2 linked regions of the Lonchura striata genome follow. The main gene of each other region encodes a partner of the protein of the gene in region 2 in a complex. Links are inferred from orthologs where the notes say so. Each region holds a gene or a part of one and is shown on either strand. Other genes may lie near its edges. The genes, in order: NGFR and RIPK2.

The links.
Region 1: the proteins of RIPK2 (region 2) and NGFR are in contact, whole or in part, in an NMR structure (PDB 2N83), measured with the Homo sapiens proteins. The link is inferred for Lonchura striata from reciprocal best matches to the Homo sapiens genes RIPK2 and NGFR. Residues at the interface, in NP_003812.1 of Homo sapiens: Gln437, Ser465, Arg466, Asp467, Leu468, Met470, Glu472, Asp495, Ile496, Gln497, Gly498, Glu499, Glu500, Lys503, Ile523, Leu524, Val526, Ser527, Arg528, Ser529, Pro530, Ser531, Leu532, Asn533, Leu534, Gln536; in NP_002498.1 of Homo sapiens: Gly334, Leu335, Ser338, Leu339, Pro340, Lys343, Val347, Ser354, Ala355, Asp357, Arg360, His361, Gly364, Glu365, Tyr368, Pro370, Ile373, Asp374, Leu398, Asp399, Leu401, Leu402, Arg406, Arg407, Ile408, Gln409, Arg410, Ala411, Asp412, Val414.

Annotation. Positions count from the first base shown.
Region 1 is NC_134627.1:7,916,585-7,924,792, forward strand, and holds the start of NGFR (tumor necrosis factor receptor superfamily member 16), read right to left. Parts: upstream 3,105-8,208; 5' UTR 3,049-3,104; coding exon 3,007-3,048; intron 1-3,006. UniProt on the Homo sapiens protein: Low affinity receptor which can bind to NGF, BDNF, NTF3, and NTF4. Forms a heterodimeric receptor with SORCS2 that binds the precursor forms of NGF, BDNF and NTF3 with high affinity, and has much lower affinity for mature NGF and BDNF.
Region 2 is NC_134603.1:26,087,640-26,095,138, forward strand, and holds the start of RIPK2 (receptor-interacting serine/threonine-protein kinase 2), read right to left. Parts: upstream 3,021-7,499; 5' UTR 2,849-3,020; coding exon 2,658-2,848; intron 1-2,657.

The sequences.
Region 1 (8,208 bases), on a different chromosome or scaffold from region 2:
GGATCCCAGAGCTTCCAGGGATCCCAGAGCTTCCAGAGCTTCCAGGGATCCCAGAGCATCCAAGGATCCCAGAGATCCCAGAGCATCCTGTGATCCCTGAGCTTCCAGGGATCCCCGAGCTTCCAGGGATCCCAGAGCATCCCCTGATCGCAGAGCACCCCACAATTCCAGAGCTTCCAAAGATCCCAGAGCATCCAGAGATCCCAGGGATCCCAGAGCTTCCAGGGATCCCAGAGCTTCCAGGGATCCCAGATCTTCCTCCAGTCTCAAAGCTTCTAAAGATCCCAGAGCATCCAGAGATCCCAGATCTTTCCCTGATCCCAGATCTTTCCCTGATCCCAGACCTTCCCCGATCCCAGCCCTTCCCCGATCCCAGACCTTCTCCCAATCCCAGACCTTCCCCCAGTCCCAGACCTTCCCCAATCCCAGACCTTCCCCTGATCCCAGATCTTCCCCCGATCCCAGCCCTTCCCCGATCCCAGCCCTTCCCCGATCCCAGACCTTCCCCCAGTCCCAGACCTTCGCCGATCCCAGATCTTTCCTCGATCCCAGCCCTTCCCCAGTCCCAGATCTTCCCCGATCCCAGCCCCTACCCGATCCCGGATCTTTCCCCGATCCCAGCCCTTCCCCGATCCCAGATCTTCCCCGATCCCAGCCCTTCCCCGATCCCAGCCCTTCCCCAATCCCGGCCCTTCCCCGATCCCAGACCTTCCCCTGATCCGCGATCTTCCCCGATCCCAGCCCTTCCCCGATCCCAGCCCTTCCCCGATCCCAGACCTTCCCCCAATCCCAGCCCTTCCCCAATCCCAGCCCTTCCCCCGATCCCAGCCCTTCCCCGATCCCAGCCCTTCCCCGATGCCAGCCCTTCCCCGATCCCAGCCCTTCCCCAGTCTCCCATTCCAGCTCCCCCACGCCGCAGGCAGCTGCGGGCGGTCCCGCGTGGGCCGGGCCTGGCCGGGCCACCGGCTCCGCTCCCGGGCCACCTGTCCTGTCCCCTCCCGCCCCCGCGCCCCGAGCGCTCCCAATTCCCGGCTCCAGGTGCCGCGGGCCCCTCGCTCCGGGGCTTTCCCGAGCCCCCCGGCCGGGCACGGCACCTGGCCCGCGTTAGGCTGCGGAAACGCGCGCTGTTAGCGCGGCTCCCGGTGACAAAGCCGCGGCTATTAACGCCGTAAAGCATCCTGACAGCTGGCCCGGCCCGGCCGCGGCCGGAGGGCGCAGGCGACACCTCTGGAAGCTCTTAATTGCTTTTTGGAGCCGTGCCGGGGGGGTCGGAGCCCGGGCAGGCGCTGCCGGGGGAGGACAGAGCCGCTCCGAGCGGGATTTCGGAGTCTGGCACCGCGGAGCGCCCGGCACCAGGAGGGGATGCTCCAGCTGGAGACGAGCCCGGCTGCGAGACGCGAGCCCGGCGGGCGCGCTCTGCCTCTCTTGGCCGAGCACCGCGTCTGGGAGAGGCCAAATCCCGGCTCCCGGCGCCTCCCGAACTTTGGGCAGCTCGGGGAGCCGCGTCCGAGCGCTGCGGCTCCGGCCGGCCCTGGGAGGCTCCGCCGCTCCCGGGCCGAGCAGCGCAGGCACCGAGCGGCGAGCGCGGCGGGCCGGGCTGCGGGGTCCCGGGCTGCGGGGGCTGCGGGGGTCCCGGGCTGCGGGGATCCCGGGCTGCGGGGATCCCGGGCTGCGGGGGTCCCGGGCTGCGGGGGCTGCGGGGTCCCGGGCTGCGGGGGCTGCGGGGGTCCCGGGCTGCGGGGGCTGCGGGGGTCCCGGGGTGCGGGGTCCCGGGCTGCGGGGGCTGCGGGGGTCCCGGGCTGCGGGGGCTGCGGGGGTCCCGGGCTGCGGGGGTCCCGGTGTGCGGGGTCCCGGGCTGCGGGGGTCCCGGGCTGCGGGGTCCCGGGGTGCGCGGAGCTGGGGGAGCACAGCCGGGGTCCCTGTTGTCCCCCCCCAGGAACACTCCCAGCCCCGCAGGTGCGGTCCCGGAGGGCAGAAGCAGCTCCCCGCGGTGACCCCGGCGCAGGGAAGCGGCGATTTGGGGACATCAGAGCCCGGCCCCGCTGCAGCAGCCGGGGAGGGGCGAGAGGGCGATGCCCTGGGGGGGGAATGGTTGGGATCCATCTGGCTGGGACAGCTCCGGGCCCCCCCGGCCGCTGTCCCGCTATCCCGGGGCGCTTTGGCCATCCCGATCCCGATCCCGGGGGGCTGTGGGGGAAAGGACCCCCCGGCACGGCGCTGCCAGCCCCGCTCCGCTCCTGCACGGAGCCGCTCAACTCCGCCTTTAATATCCTGCCCGAGGGGTGTCCGGCTGCCTGACGGCCCCCCTGGGACCCCCGGCAAATCCTGCCCCCCAAACAGCCCCGCTCCTGCCCCAGCTGCGGGCTCGGAGCCCCCCGGCCCCACTCCGGGCACTCCCCTCTCTGCTGGCCCCCCCACCCCAGCCTGCCCTGAAGTTTTTTGTCTGGGGCACACGGCGAGGGCTCTGCCGGGAGGAAAAGGCTCTCAGCCTCAGCTGTGGGGCACCTGGGAGCCGGGAAAGTCTGCGAGAGGTTGCGGGGGGTGCGTGCGGGGCAGGTGATGAAGGCACTGGGGGGGCTCCCCCCGGGCTGGGGCTCCGTCACTCTTTGCAGTGGCAGAGCTCGGGGCAGCGGCACCGGAGGGGCTGCGGGACCCCATCCCCACCCAGCTCCCCACGCCCCCTCCCACCGCACCCCAAAGAGCTCTGCTCGCCTCCCCGGGGCTCTCCGGTGCCCCCGGGATCCTCCAGCCCCGCACGGCGGGGACCCCGCTCCTGCCTGTGCTGTCCGCTGCCCCTCACCCGCGGGGCTCCCACCCCGGGGTCCCCGGGACCCTCCGGACACCCCCGTGTGAAGCCTCCGGGCCCCTCCATCCCACCCCCGCCCGGTGCCTCGGGGCTGTCCATCCCCCGGTGCCTCCGGGGACGCTCCCGGTGCCCCCGGGACGCCGCATCCCCTCCCCGCCGGGGCTGTCGGGGCTGCCCCGGGCGCCGCTCCCCGCACTCACCGCCGGCAGCAGGAGCAGCAGCAGCGGCAGGAGCCCGGCCATGGCGGGGGCAGCGGAGCGGGGCCGGTGACAGCCCCGGAAGCCGGAGCGCGGCCGGGCTGCCCTGGCTCTGCCGCTCTCCGCCGCGGCGGCGGCCAGAAAAGAGCTGCAAGTCCCTCCTCCTCCTCCCCCTCCTCCTCCTCCTCCTCCCCGCCCCCGGAGCATCACGGAGCGGCCGAGCCCGCACCCTCCGCCGCCGCCACACAAAGCCCGGTTCCCCCGGGCCCCCCCGGTCCCCCCGGGCCCCCCGGGCCCCGCCGCCCGCCCACGAAGCGTTTCTGGGGCGCGCTCGCTCCCAGCCCAGCCGGGGCTCTTCAGCCCATCCACGGCTTTGCCTCCTGTGCCGTCTGCCCGTCCTCCAGCCCCCTCGGCACCCCCTCCTCCCCCGGTCCGTCTGTCTGTCCCCGGCCCCGGGGTGGCGTCACCGCTGCCATCGCGGCCCCAGGGGCGGGATGGGGTGACCAGACCTGCCCCGGCTGCTGGGGACAAGGGACAAAATCCCCGGCCCGGGGACACCCCGGGCCCGTCCCAGCCGGGCGGTGTCACCCAGAGGCCCCCGAGGGGGGCACGCGGCGGGGACTGAATCAAATCTTTGTATTTCTGCCCTCCACACAAAGAAATCCCATCTGGGCTCCCCGTGGGCCCTGCAAGGTCCCCGCGTGCCGCCCTCCTTTGTCCCGGCGCCCCAGGGTGACTCTGCCTGGCCTCCTGCCCTCGCCGGGCCCGCAGTGCCCGCAGCTGGCAATGCCAGGGCTCCTTCCCCACCCCGCAGCGCTGCGTCAGCCCCGGGCACGGCTCCGCGGGGCCACCCAACCGCGGCACCGGGCACCGGTGCCACCGGGAGCGGCCCCGCCTCGCTGTCGCTGCCCCGGGCTGGCTCCTGCGGCCGCGGTGGCCACGGCACAGCGGATTTGGCCTCGTGTGCGTCCAGCTCCAGGTGTTTCCTCCCCGCTCCGGGCTCTGCAGGTGCTTTTGGGGCTCCCAAAATCCAGCAGTTCCCAGCCCTGCAGCCACCGGAGCCCCGAAATCCCGCGGGTCACGGTGGGAAAGCGCCACTCCGCTGGATTTCCTCTGGAAAAGCCAATTCTGGAGCCTCCGAGGTGCTCAGGGCCGGCTGCTGCCGCTGGCTCAGCCCGGGAAGGGCTTCACGGAATTCCCTCTCTCGCAGCTTTTCCGTGGGATTAAAGCCGAGCCAAAGCTGCCGTTTGTTCTCGTCACGGGCAGAACATCTGCGAGCCACATGGAGAAGCGTTCGCAGCCAAAAAAGCCACGCTGGGGCCAGGTGGGAACGGGCTGGGAGGTGCCCGGGGGCTGGGATGCCCACCCGGGGGCTGGGATGCCCACCCAAGATTGGGATGCCCACCCAGGATTGGGATGCCAGCCATAATCCCAGCGTTTTAAGGGTTTTTTCTGGGATCACCGATGACACCGCAGCCCCAGTGGAATGGGAAGGGGTGACCGAGCTTCCCCCGGCTGCAGGGGACAAAGGGACACCACCCTTGGGGACATTCCCGGGAGCAGACGCGAGGCAGGGCTGGCACAGCAGGGAGCAGCCGCGGGATCCCGCAATTAATTCACCGCAGCAAGTGGCAAATCCAGATGTTCTCCTCGGGCCCTTGGATAAATCCCTCCTCCCCCTCCTCCTCCTCCTCGTCCTGCCCGTGCCGGGGACACCGAGCTCGTGGCCCGCGGTCCCCGAGCCCCGTCCCCGCCGCCGCCGTGTCCCGGTGGGAGTCTGGGGAGCATCCCGGGAAAAGCCGCAGCCCTGGCAGAGCCCGTCCCGCCCAGCCGGGCTCCATCTGCGCCGGGCTGGGAGGGAAAATTCCCGCTCCCATCCCAGCCCCCGCGGCTCCTCTGGAGAAGGGACTCGCGGAATTCTTCACCGGATCACACGCGCCTCCTTTTTCCCGTCCCCAAAACAGCTGTGGCGCTTTCCCGGCTCCGTGAGTGACAAAGAACCTCCCGAAGTTCTGGTGTCACCTCCTGGAATTAAACCCAAAGGCTCCGGGGTTTTTTTGTGGGGGGGGAAATTGAACTCTTGCAACCCCTAAAGCCGCCCCAAAATCCACCCACCTGCCACTGGCTCTGGGGTGGGGCTGATCACTGTCCCCAAAAGCCTCGTGGCCATCGGGGGGGACCCAAAATCGGCTCCCGGTGCCAGCAGGGCACGGCGGGGCGGTGCCAGGGCTGGGTCTGTGCACTGGGAGCAGCTCAGGGAGGGCTCGGCCCCGCTTTTAATCACAAAAAAATCCTTCCATGGATTTTACAGGATTTCCCCGGCGGCTCCCGAGCTCCCCTCAGGCTGACGGGGTCACGCATGCAGAGGCTCCCATGCTGGAGGGAGCGCGGAAAGGGCGGGATTAATTAGCGAAAGGGCAATTAGAACTGGGTGAAACATCGCGTGCAGCCCCTCCCGGCCCCGCAGCGCTTTCACCCCCTCGTTATCTCCCTTCGGGCTCCTCCAGATCGCCCGGGGGGCTCCAGGGGATGTTTCCCCTCTCCCTCCACGCCGGGGGGCTCCGAAAGAGCCCCCAGAGCGAGCCCGGCTTAAACACTCGGGGCCTGCGGAGGTTTTACGGCTTTTACTCCAAACCGGGTGAAATTCCCTTCCCGACACAGCCGATTCTGCGGTGAGGGCGAGACAGAAATGAGGATGAATTAATAACACAGCTCGGAAGTTATTCCTGTAGGAACGGGGCCAGTTATTCCATGGAAATGGGGCCCAGTTTTTCATGGAAGTGGGGCCCAGTTATTCCCTGGAAATGGGGCTGTTATTCCTATAGGATGGGGTGAGTTATTCCCATGGAAATGGGGCTGTTATTCCCCATAGGGTCAGTAATCCCATGGAAATGGGGCTGTTATTCCTATAGGATGGGGTCAGTTATTCCATGGAAATGGGGCTGTTATTCCCATGGAAATGGGGCTGTCATTCCTACAGCAATGGGGTCAGTTATTCCATGGAAATGGGGCTGTTTTTCCCATAGAAATGGGGCTGTTATTCCCACAGGGATGGGGTGAGTTATTCCATGGAAATGGGGCTGTTATTCCTATAGGATGGGGTCGGTTATTCCCATGGAAATGGGGCTGTTAGTCCCACAGGGATGGGGTCAGTAATCCCATGGAAATGGGGCTGTTATTCCCACAGGGATGGGGTCAGTTATTCCATGGAAATGGGTCTGTCATTCCCACAGGGATGGGGTCAGTTATTCCATGGAAATGGGGCTGTTATTCCCATGGAAATGGGGCTGTCATTCCCACAGGGATGGGGTCAGTTATTCCATGGAAATGGGACTATTTTTCCCATGGAAACGGGGCTGTCATTCCCACAGGGATGGGGGTGTCACCCCAAAGCCCCGAGCTCCCCAGCGCTCCCCAAGCCCCCCAAACGCGGCTCCCGTGCCCTCGGGGGTCCCGCTCTCCTTTGGGATTGTCTCCCGCTTTCCAGGCCGGCGGTTCCTGCCTCCATCCCCGTCCCTGCCCCGCTCCGGCAGCTCCCGGCCTCCCCCCTTCCCTTTTTCCCTTTCTTCCCGTGTTTCGCAGCGCGATCCATCACCCTGCCGGCAGCAGGGGGGACTGGGCATGAATCTCTCCCTGCTCCGCGGGCCCTTATAAGGCCGGCCTGGAGGAGCGGCCGGGAAAGCCGAGCCGGGCTGGCAAAAACAAAGCCCGGAGAGAAAGCGGGGCCCGGGCAGCCCCGGGGAGAAAATCCCGGCGGCGGGGGACGGGCAGGAGGAGGCACGGGCCACGCCCGGCAGCGGCAGCGGCGATATCGATGATCGATCGATCCCCCCGCGCCGGGGCCGCTCCTCCTCCCCGGGCCGGCTTTGGGGCCCATTGATCCCGGGGTTGGTGCTGATGGATCGGGAATTCCGCTGCCGGCAGCGGAGTGTCAGCGGGGACGAGCCGGCCGAGAGATTTTTTATCTTCCTCGGCTCAGGGCTGCGCTTTTCGCTGCGTTTGGTTTTCGTTTGGGGGTGGGGATTTGTTTTAATTGACTCGGTGCTCGGCTGGAGTAGAAGGAGATAAAGGTAGAATGGAAGAGGGATGAGTAGAACGGAATAGAGATGAAATAAAGATGAAATAGAAATAAATTAGAAATAAAATAGGAAAAAAGAGAAAAAATATAGAAAAAATAGAAATAAAATAGACATGAACTAGAAATAAAATAGAGGTAAATAGAATAGAGATGAATAGAATAGAGATGAATAGAGATGAATAGAGATGAATAGAGATGAATAGAATAGAATAGAATAGAATAGAATAGAATAGAATAGAATAGAATAGAATAGAATAGAATATTACCACTGGAAGGGCCCTAAAACAACCCTCTAATCCCACTGTGCAGCCCGGAGGAGATCCAGTGGATTTTTGGGCTCCTCCCAGCCCACTCCAGGCCGGGATGTTCTCCATTGCCTGCCCGCTCAGCAGTGCCTCAGTTTCCCCTGTGGAAGCGGGGGTGGGATTTTCACCTCCGGGTGGGAATTTCACCTCCGGGTGGGAATTTCACCTCCGGGTGGGAATTTCGCCTCTCCAGAGCCTCTTCCCAGCAGTGACAGACGCAGGAGCGGGGGGAGCTCTTTTCCCAGCCCGCCGAGATGATGAGGGAATTTAATTGCTGCCTTCATCCCTTATGCAAATGAGCCGCGAGCACCTGCGGGAGCGGAGCCCGGCCCCGGCCCCGTGTCCCGGCACATCCAGAGGGATCCTGGGGCCGCTCCCTGCCCAGCTCAATGACCCCGCTGCTGGTTTTATTTTCATTCCCGCTGCTGGTTTTATTTTCATTCCCGGGTTCCCGGTGGGGATCGGTGCAGGGAGGAGCCCGGGGAGGGTTCGGCCGCTCCGGGAGCCGGGCGCGAGTTTGCCAAGGGCCGGGCAGCCGGGATCGATCGATCGGGCCGGGATAATCGCATTGGGACGGGCAGCGCTGTCTCGGCCCCGCTGGAATTCTCCGAGCCAGCAAACAGCCAGGAGGAAATTGGGTAAAAGCGATTTTATCCGATTGTAGCAGGGATTTAATGAGGGCCGGGACGTGACAGCCACGGGGAAAGCGGCCGAGGGGAGGAGGGCCTGGAGCAGGGAGAAGCTCCTGGGAGCACCCAGGGGTGCCTGGGGGGGTTTAAAGAGGGATCCCCGGTGGGAGCGGAGCCGCGCCCTGGCAGTGAC
Region 2 (7,499 bases):
GTGGAGATTGGTACAAGTACATGACTAGGATATTCAAATACAGGACATTTACAGCACATTGATCCTTTGGATGTGAGCCAGTCTGACTCAGAAGCAATAGGGCTGTGCTGGGGCCAGGGCTATGCCCACCATGACTGGTTCAGCACAGCGCTGTGTTATGTGCACAGGGCAGCTCCAGGGTGAGAGCTGGCTTGTGCCCACTGAGCTCAGGGCACACCCCAAAGCACTCAGGGCAGTCTGGATCCAACAAGGTGGTCTTAGCACTCACAAAGAAAAGGCTGTCAGGCTATATGGGAAAAGAGTGAACTAAAGCCTGCAGCTCTTCGCAGCAGGCAATTTTGAATTTAGATGGATATAAAATTAAGGTCCTTTTATCTGTGTGATGGAAAAAGATTTATAGGAAATGACAGAAGTAAAAAGACAGCCTTTGATACAAGCATGGGATGGAAGAGACAACTCTACACCTTCCTCCCTCTCTTCAGAATGAGTAGGTTTGAGAAAGTTTGGGGTTTTCCCAGACAGTAAGGCACATTAGCATGGGATTTAGCTGTAGCTGGGAAACAAATTGCGACATACTGCAGTCTATTCCTGTGCCTGTCAGTCACTTCACCTTTGTCTGCTCCATGCCAGAAGGGCACTGAGTAATACCTAAATGAGCACATTCCCACAACAGCTTCCCAACTGGCTTTGCTCTTTGCCTGGTCACATACCATATTCTGGGATGCACAGCACATGCTTCTCACTTGGGGAATGAATGGCATCAAGAATTCATCCCTATTCCTGACAACACTTACAGGCTGGCATTTCATATTGCCTACTGTACAATCAGCAAAGCACTTGCTGCTGAGACTCGGGTATAATGGATTTTTTTTTGCACCTTTGAGTTTTCTTACAGCATTTCTAGGCTTTGCATGATATATGGTGATGCCTTATTAAGGCTGACCTTAATTAAGCCTACCTAGGCTAGGCAGAGTTAAAGAATAAAGTAAGCATTTATTAGGAGGCCTCAATGGATACACCTTAGGCGGTACAACAACCCAGCCAAGGCTACACCCAAGATGAAGCCAAAATGGTCACAAAACGCACAACCAGTCACGAGGTCTCTCACTTATAAGTTCTGGTCCATTAACATATTGGAGTTAATTGTCCAATTATAGCTTTAGGTTATGAAGTCTGATTCTTCTTGTTTTTCTCCCTTCAATCCATGTTGTTTATACTCTTGGGCCTGAAATTTGGGTGGTTGTCCTTGGTTCCAAGCTAGGAATGGAACTGTTTTGCCTACCTACTCTGTGAAGAGAGCTTACTATCCCTTAATATGAAGCTCAGAAGTACATCCTAAAGCAGTCCAGAATCTGAGAAATATAAAAGCTAAAACCTAAGGCATCATGGTGGGTGACTGAATTATTTGGATTACCTCACTTGCCCTTCTAATCATAATTTCACAGGTTAATATCCCACTAATCCAAATTCTTACAAGTCTAAAAATAGCCTTGGTTGGTTTCTCTCAGCTGTGTTCTGAGGATAAATGCTGTATTTCCAATTAGCTGGGATTTAAGCACACATTAAAAAAAAATCCAAAACAAAAAATCCTCCACAACACCCGCCCGTCCCCTCCCTCCCCCAGCTTATCAAAAAACACAACATAACTGAGATTCCATTTCTGGCTAGATTTCAGTGATAACGCCCGTGTATACACAAACCTGGGCAATAAGAGGTGAAAGAGCTTAAAACAACTTGTCTTATATTTGAGTATATTGAGTCACAAGACTAGAAGCCTTTCTGGGTGAAGCTATCCTACCTAAAGGTCTAGTACTAGATCAAAGAGACCTGAGGCAAAAGCTTGAAGACAGCAAGATAAGACTCATAGGCAGGTTTACAGTCAGGCAGGTTTCAAACAACCTAAGAAGAGACAAGTTTGCATTGATATGTTAACAAATTGGAACTATGGGGATTGAATAAGACAGTGATGAAAAAGTAAAACTTGATGTCGCCTTACATGGAATGATAGCTCCTGTAATAAATATGCTGCCACTTGGGTGCCTGGAAAACAGGGAACCCAATTGTTACACGGAAAATACCAGTTTTACAGGGGAGTCTACAAGCCTATTATTTTAAATCAGCTTCTCTCAGTACTGTGAGATCTGGGGAAAAATAGTAATTTTGCATGGTCTCAGAGAAGCTTCTTCTAGATGCAATCTCTAGTGAATAGAACAGTATACTCCCGATATTCTTTTCTCTATGTAAACACCAAATCTACAGTAATCACTGTAGTTTAATATCCTGCGAATACCTCAGCAAAATGGTTAGCAGCCAACAGACCCAGCAAGAACTAAACTCTGTCAATCCCACCACGAGGCGGGCTCAAGGTTCACAGTGCAGAAGAAAAAAACTCCAAAAGAAACAGCTTAGTGTCTCAGAGACCGAGACCGAAACCACTCTTTTACAATAATCGAAAGAGAGGAAGCTCCAGGGCCGGTCCGCGCTTTCTCTTGGCCCAAGCTGAATCATCCTGGTGGGATCCCCTTTCCCCGCGGAATTAAAGCAAGGCTGGCTACGGAAGCAGCAGGACCTGACCCACAGCCCTCAGGCCGGCGGCCCCGGCCCGTCCCGGGGCTGGGTTAGGGCCGGGCGGGCTCGGGCCGGCCCTGCCCCGTTACCTGTCTAGCAGCGGCCCCTGCAGGCATTTCAGGGCCACCGGGACCCTCCAGTCGGCGTGCCGGGCGGCGGACACGGTCCCGTAAGCGCCCCGGCTGATAAATCGCAAGTCCGGGAGTTTGCTGGAGGGGATGGAGAGGAGGCCGCAGCTGAGGGCGCCCGCCCGGCCCCCACCGCCATCCCCGCCGCTCATGCTCGCACTCCGCCGGGCTCAGCGGGGCCCGGAGCGCCGCTCCTCCGGCCCCGTCCTGCCTTCGCCGCACCTCCCTGCCCCGCCTGCTCTCCAGTTGGCCAGCGCTTCTCTCCTCTGCCCCACCGACGAGGCACTTCCTCGCGGAAAAAGCGTCCCACGGCTCGCGGGTCGGGGAAGGCGGAGCAGCGGGGTGGGAGGAGCGCGCCGGAGCGCGGCGCTGGCGCGGCCTCGCCCTGCGGGAGCCGCGCACGGAGCGTCCCCCCGACCCCGGGGAGCCGCCGGGGCGCGGGTGGGCTCTGCGCTCGGAAAATGATGCGGGATGCTAGAGCCGAGCGCAGATCGCCGCTGTGAACTGTTCGCTGCATAAAATCACAGATTGATGTGGGTTGGACGGCACCTTAAAGATTATCTAGTCGCAACTCTGCCAGGACAGGACACACCTTCCACTAGACTTCCACAGAGCCCCATCCGGTGTGTACTCATTGCTCAAGAGAAGTGAGAAAAGCTTTGTCTCAGTCGCTTATCTCCTCCGCGCTTGTCCTAGGAAGATTTTTCAGGATAACAGTATTTCAAAAAGATCGTTTCGCAATTTCCAGTAAGTGCAAGTTCACCCTTGCCAATAGTAATAGAGAGCTGCCTGATACACGGATGTATTTATGAGAGCTTTAAGGTTGCTCAGTAAGCTTTTGTAATGCCTGTTCACCAAGCCAAGTTTTCACAGACTAGCAAAGTAATTTAACTTAAAGGTATAGATTTGTAGCTTTCCACAAGGAGTGACAGTTCCACAGGATGAAATAAATGTAAATAGAACAACTCGCCTTTCCATGTGTGTGGATGATGGGCTAAACGCCTGTGGCTTTTCACCTCTCTTTTCTCCCACTCATGGATATGGACCAGAGAATGAGGGAAAATACCTATGTTTTCAAGCTATAATATGTCCAATATTTCACAGCATTCATTTTAAGACATGGCAACAACTTTTCAGTCCTGTCTAGGTCCTAGCACTTTACCTTTATGACTTTTACAATTTTCTTGTATTTTGGATGATTTGTATCCTCCAAATGCTTCAGCATTATGAATCATGTAAAGCAATCAGTGACTTACTCTACTTTCAGTTTTCATTTAGTCCATGTCCTATAGACACACTAGGTGGTTTCCCAAAACTGTACTCTTGCGGCAATGTTTCCAATATACAAGTTTTGGGTATCTGTTTATGCATATCCCTCTCTATATTAACCATTAGTACCATTAGTCATACAATTCTAAATTTGGTGTATAAGGAAGATTTTGTTTCCAAAAGAAAATTATATGCCAAGTACAATTACCATGAGCTTGCATTATAAAACCACTGTGTAAATACATACTTACAGTCTTTGCCAATAAAATGTCCCTATACTTTAGATTTATTTGTGCATCTTGTTACTGTGTGCTGTGTTGATTTAATGTACATTTATAGTGTTAAGTACACTGACTTAAACCCCAGGAAAATTATTGTAATTCTAAAAGTGGATGTGGAGGCAGCACTGTTGGAGCAGTGCCATGCTTCTCTTGTCATGCCTATTCCAGCTACACTTTTCCTGGAGCTGTAGTCCTTGTGACACCCCAAACCCTAACCCCAACCCTAATGGCAGCTTGGGGGCGAGGCTGAGGTCCTAAGGTAGATTAAACTTTTGAAAAAACTAAAGTTTTTGTTAAATACTGTTTCTAAATTATAGATACAGTATTTATAGCATGTGGCAGATAAATAGCTGCCTGTGGCTTATTTCTTTGAAATTTAAACTTGTGAGATTTCCCACATAGTCCTTTTCATTTTTAAGTGTTGGATCTGATTTGTCCTTTCACATGGAAATTTCCTGAATATCCCCACTGATAATGAAGTAAGCAAAGTCCACAGCAAAGAGGATACTTTTTCTGTATATGGTATTCATAGTGGTTTGATTAGTGTTATCATAACTGTAATTTGCTTGAATTTAAACTGGAAAAAAATGGTTCTGAAAGGGTGAAAGCTATGGTGAGGGGCTTAGTCTTCCTTCAGCTTGTGAAATCTAGGAGGGCAGCTAGTTACTATGTGATCAATACATCGTGATGCTGACTTGTAAAACACTTTCCATTCTTTGTATCTCTGCAAAAGATCAAGTAAAATAACAGCTGAAATTAAACAGACTTTCCAGACTGAGGTGATATTTGCTTTTTGACATTCTTCCCTGTGAGCAGCTTAGTCTGGAAAGAGCTTTCACATTTCTACTCTAAACAGGTATTCACACTGATGTTGAGGAGAGGGTATAAAATACATATCTCTCCCTGTGCATCTCCACCTGAAAACCAGGCCTCTTATACATAGATACACATGCATCCTTTTATAGTCATGTGTATGTTTTTAAAAATTCACACTACCTGCATGTAAAAGACTTTTTTTTTCCAGTTTGTTACAATCTTGTTCCTCCACCAAAAAATTATAGTGCCTTCATTTTTATGGATATTTTATGGATAAGCACCACATCTAGTTGTGGTTTTTTTGCAATTCACCAGATTGACTGTGTTTCCATAATGGCAAGAATCTCTTTGTTGTCGAGATAAGATGTTCAGATTGAAAGAAGCTATGGTTGTATGATGATGATTTTATACCTCAAACAACCTTATTATATTTTTGCTGTTCGACTTAAACATGACAGACAGACCCTGTTACCTACTAAATAGTCTGAAAAATATGGGTGCATAAAAGACCCTGTTTTAGAAAATGAGTTTTCATTCAGTAATCACAATGCCTTTGTCCCTGCTTTTTATTTTGTGGATTTTTCAAATTTTACATAAAAATGGAGTTTTGGTTATAATAACATTTTTAAAAGGAATATTTTGCCTGAATATTTTGTACTATCCACATTGCAGGAATGAAGGACTTTGGTAGTAACCTCTTCAGTTGTGTTTGGTCTTGCTGAAGCAAGTATTTTTTTTTCTGAAATAATGCACGAGGTGGTTAGATTCTGGCTGAGATCCTGTTTTGCTTGCTGTCACGCTAGCAATGTAATGATACACTTGCTCAGATCTATTAGTAATGAGTACCACAACCATGGAAACCATCAGCCTTTGAAATCCTCTGTGTATTCTCCTGCCAGCCTCAACCAACCCTTCTTTATCAGCATGTGCCACACTCTAGGTGGGCTGTTCCTGAGCATCTGAGCTCTTTTGGAAGTTGTTGCCTATGGTTTTAGATGTCTGTTGACACAATTTTATATTAAGAGAGCTGCATGAAAGTACTTGTATCCAGCTATTACAACATGTTGACACTACCCATCTGACTGAATCGAGGAGCAGAGCTGCTGAGAACTTTTCTGGCAGTTTGGAGGGAAGGAGGGAGGGAGGGAGTGCTTGGGTTTTGATGCTTCTGAGTCACCTGGATTTTTATTTCTATGTTGTGCTAATGTTGGTGGCCATGTGGTGATGACACATCATGAGTGTAATACCAGGATAAACTCTAGTGCTCTTTTCAGGCCTAGCAGTTTGACAAAGCCACCTCACACTTGAACCATTTCAATGTTTATTTGCTATTTTCACTGAGCTTCCTCTTTTCTCCACTTGCTTGTGAGACCTGAGCAACTTTATGAAGATGGTTCTCATCTTAGCCTCCAGTGAAGCTTTCAGTGTGGAAGTGGCAGAGGCAAAAGTTTGACAGAGGAGGAAAGAAAAGAGGGGATGATTTTGAAAGATTCTCCTTAGACAAAATAACACTGTGGTACTCTTCTGTACCTTTCTTAGCATGTGGATTCTCAGGGGCCAGGTCCATCCTAGGTGCTGAATCCAATAAAAATGTGTTTGATCATTTTTTAGAAACAAGGATGACTAGCATGGGATGACTGTCATCCATCTGAAACAGAATCTGCATCAGAAATGCCTGTTAAGAGTAGTTCCTAGCTCTAATTCCTTAACCACAGAGATTATTGGGAGAGCAGTATTTCTCAGGAGCCAAAAAGGATTATTCTAATAGAATTCTTACAGAATTATCTCCTGTTGGAAGATGACTGCCAGGTCTAGGAGGATTCCGTGACACCTCCAACTTTACAGGCATGGGTAGTATTAGGTGTTCAGTGGTCTGCTGCATTCAGGATTAGTCTACATGCATTTTTTATGCTGGGTATTTCCTCAAAATACTTCAGCATCCCCATTCCCCGTACTCCTAGGTTTTAACATTTATTTTGATTTTCAGTCTAAAATGCTGCTGTTCTTGGTGTTTCCCATAAAATTAGTTCAGCTGAAAGCTGAAAAAATTTCTTTCAGCAGTGAATTAGAACAAGTTTTTTCTCCCCCTTTTATTTTCTCTTTCAAAATTTAAACTATTAAACAAGTGCAGCAGATTTGATGCAAAGCCAACAGGTCAGGAGAGGGGAGGGAGGACAGCAAGATGATCAGAAGGATGGAGCATCTCTCACACAAGGAAAGGTGAGGGAATTGGGTTTGTTTATCCTGGAAAAGAGAAGGCTTTTTTGCTATTTGCAGCCTTCCAGTGCCTGAAAGGACTGTACAAGAAAAATGGAGAGGAACTTTTTATAAAAGCATGTAGTTACAGGGGAAATAAAATCAAATTGAAGGAGAGTAGGCTTAGATTAGATATCAGAAAAAATTATTTATGGTGAGGATGGTGAGGCACTGGAACAGG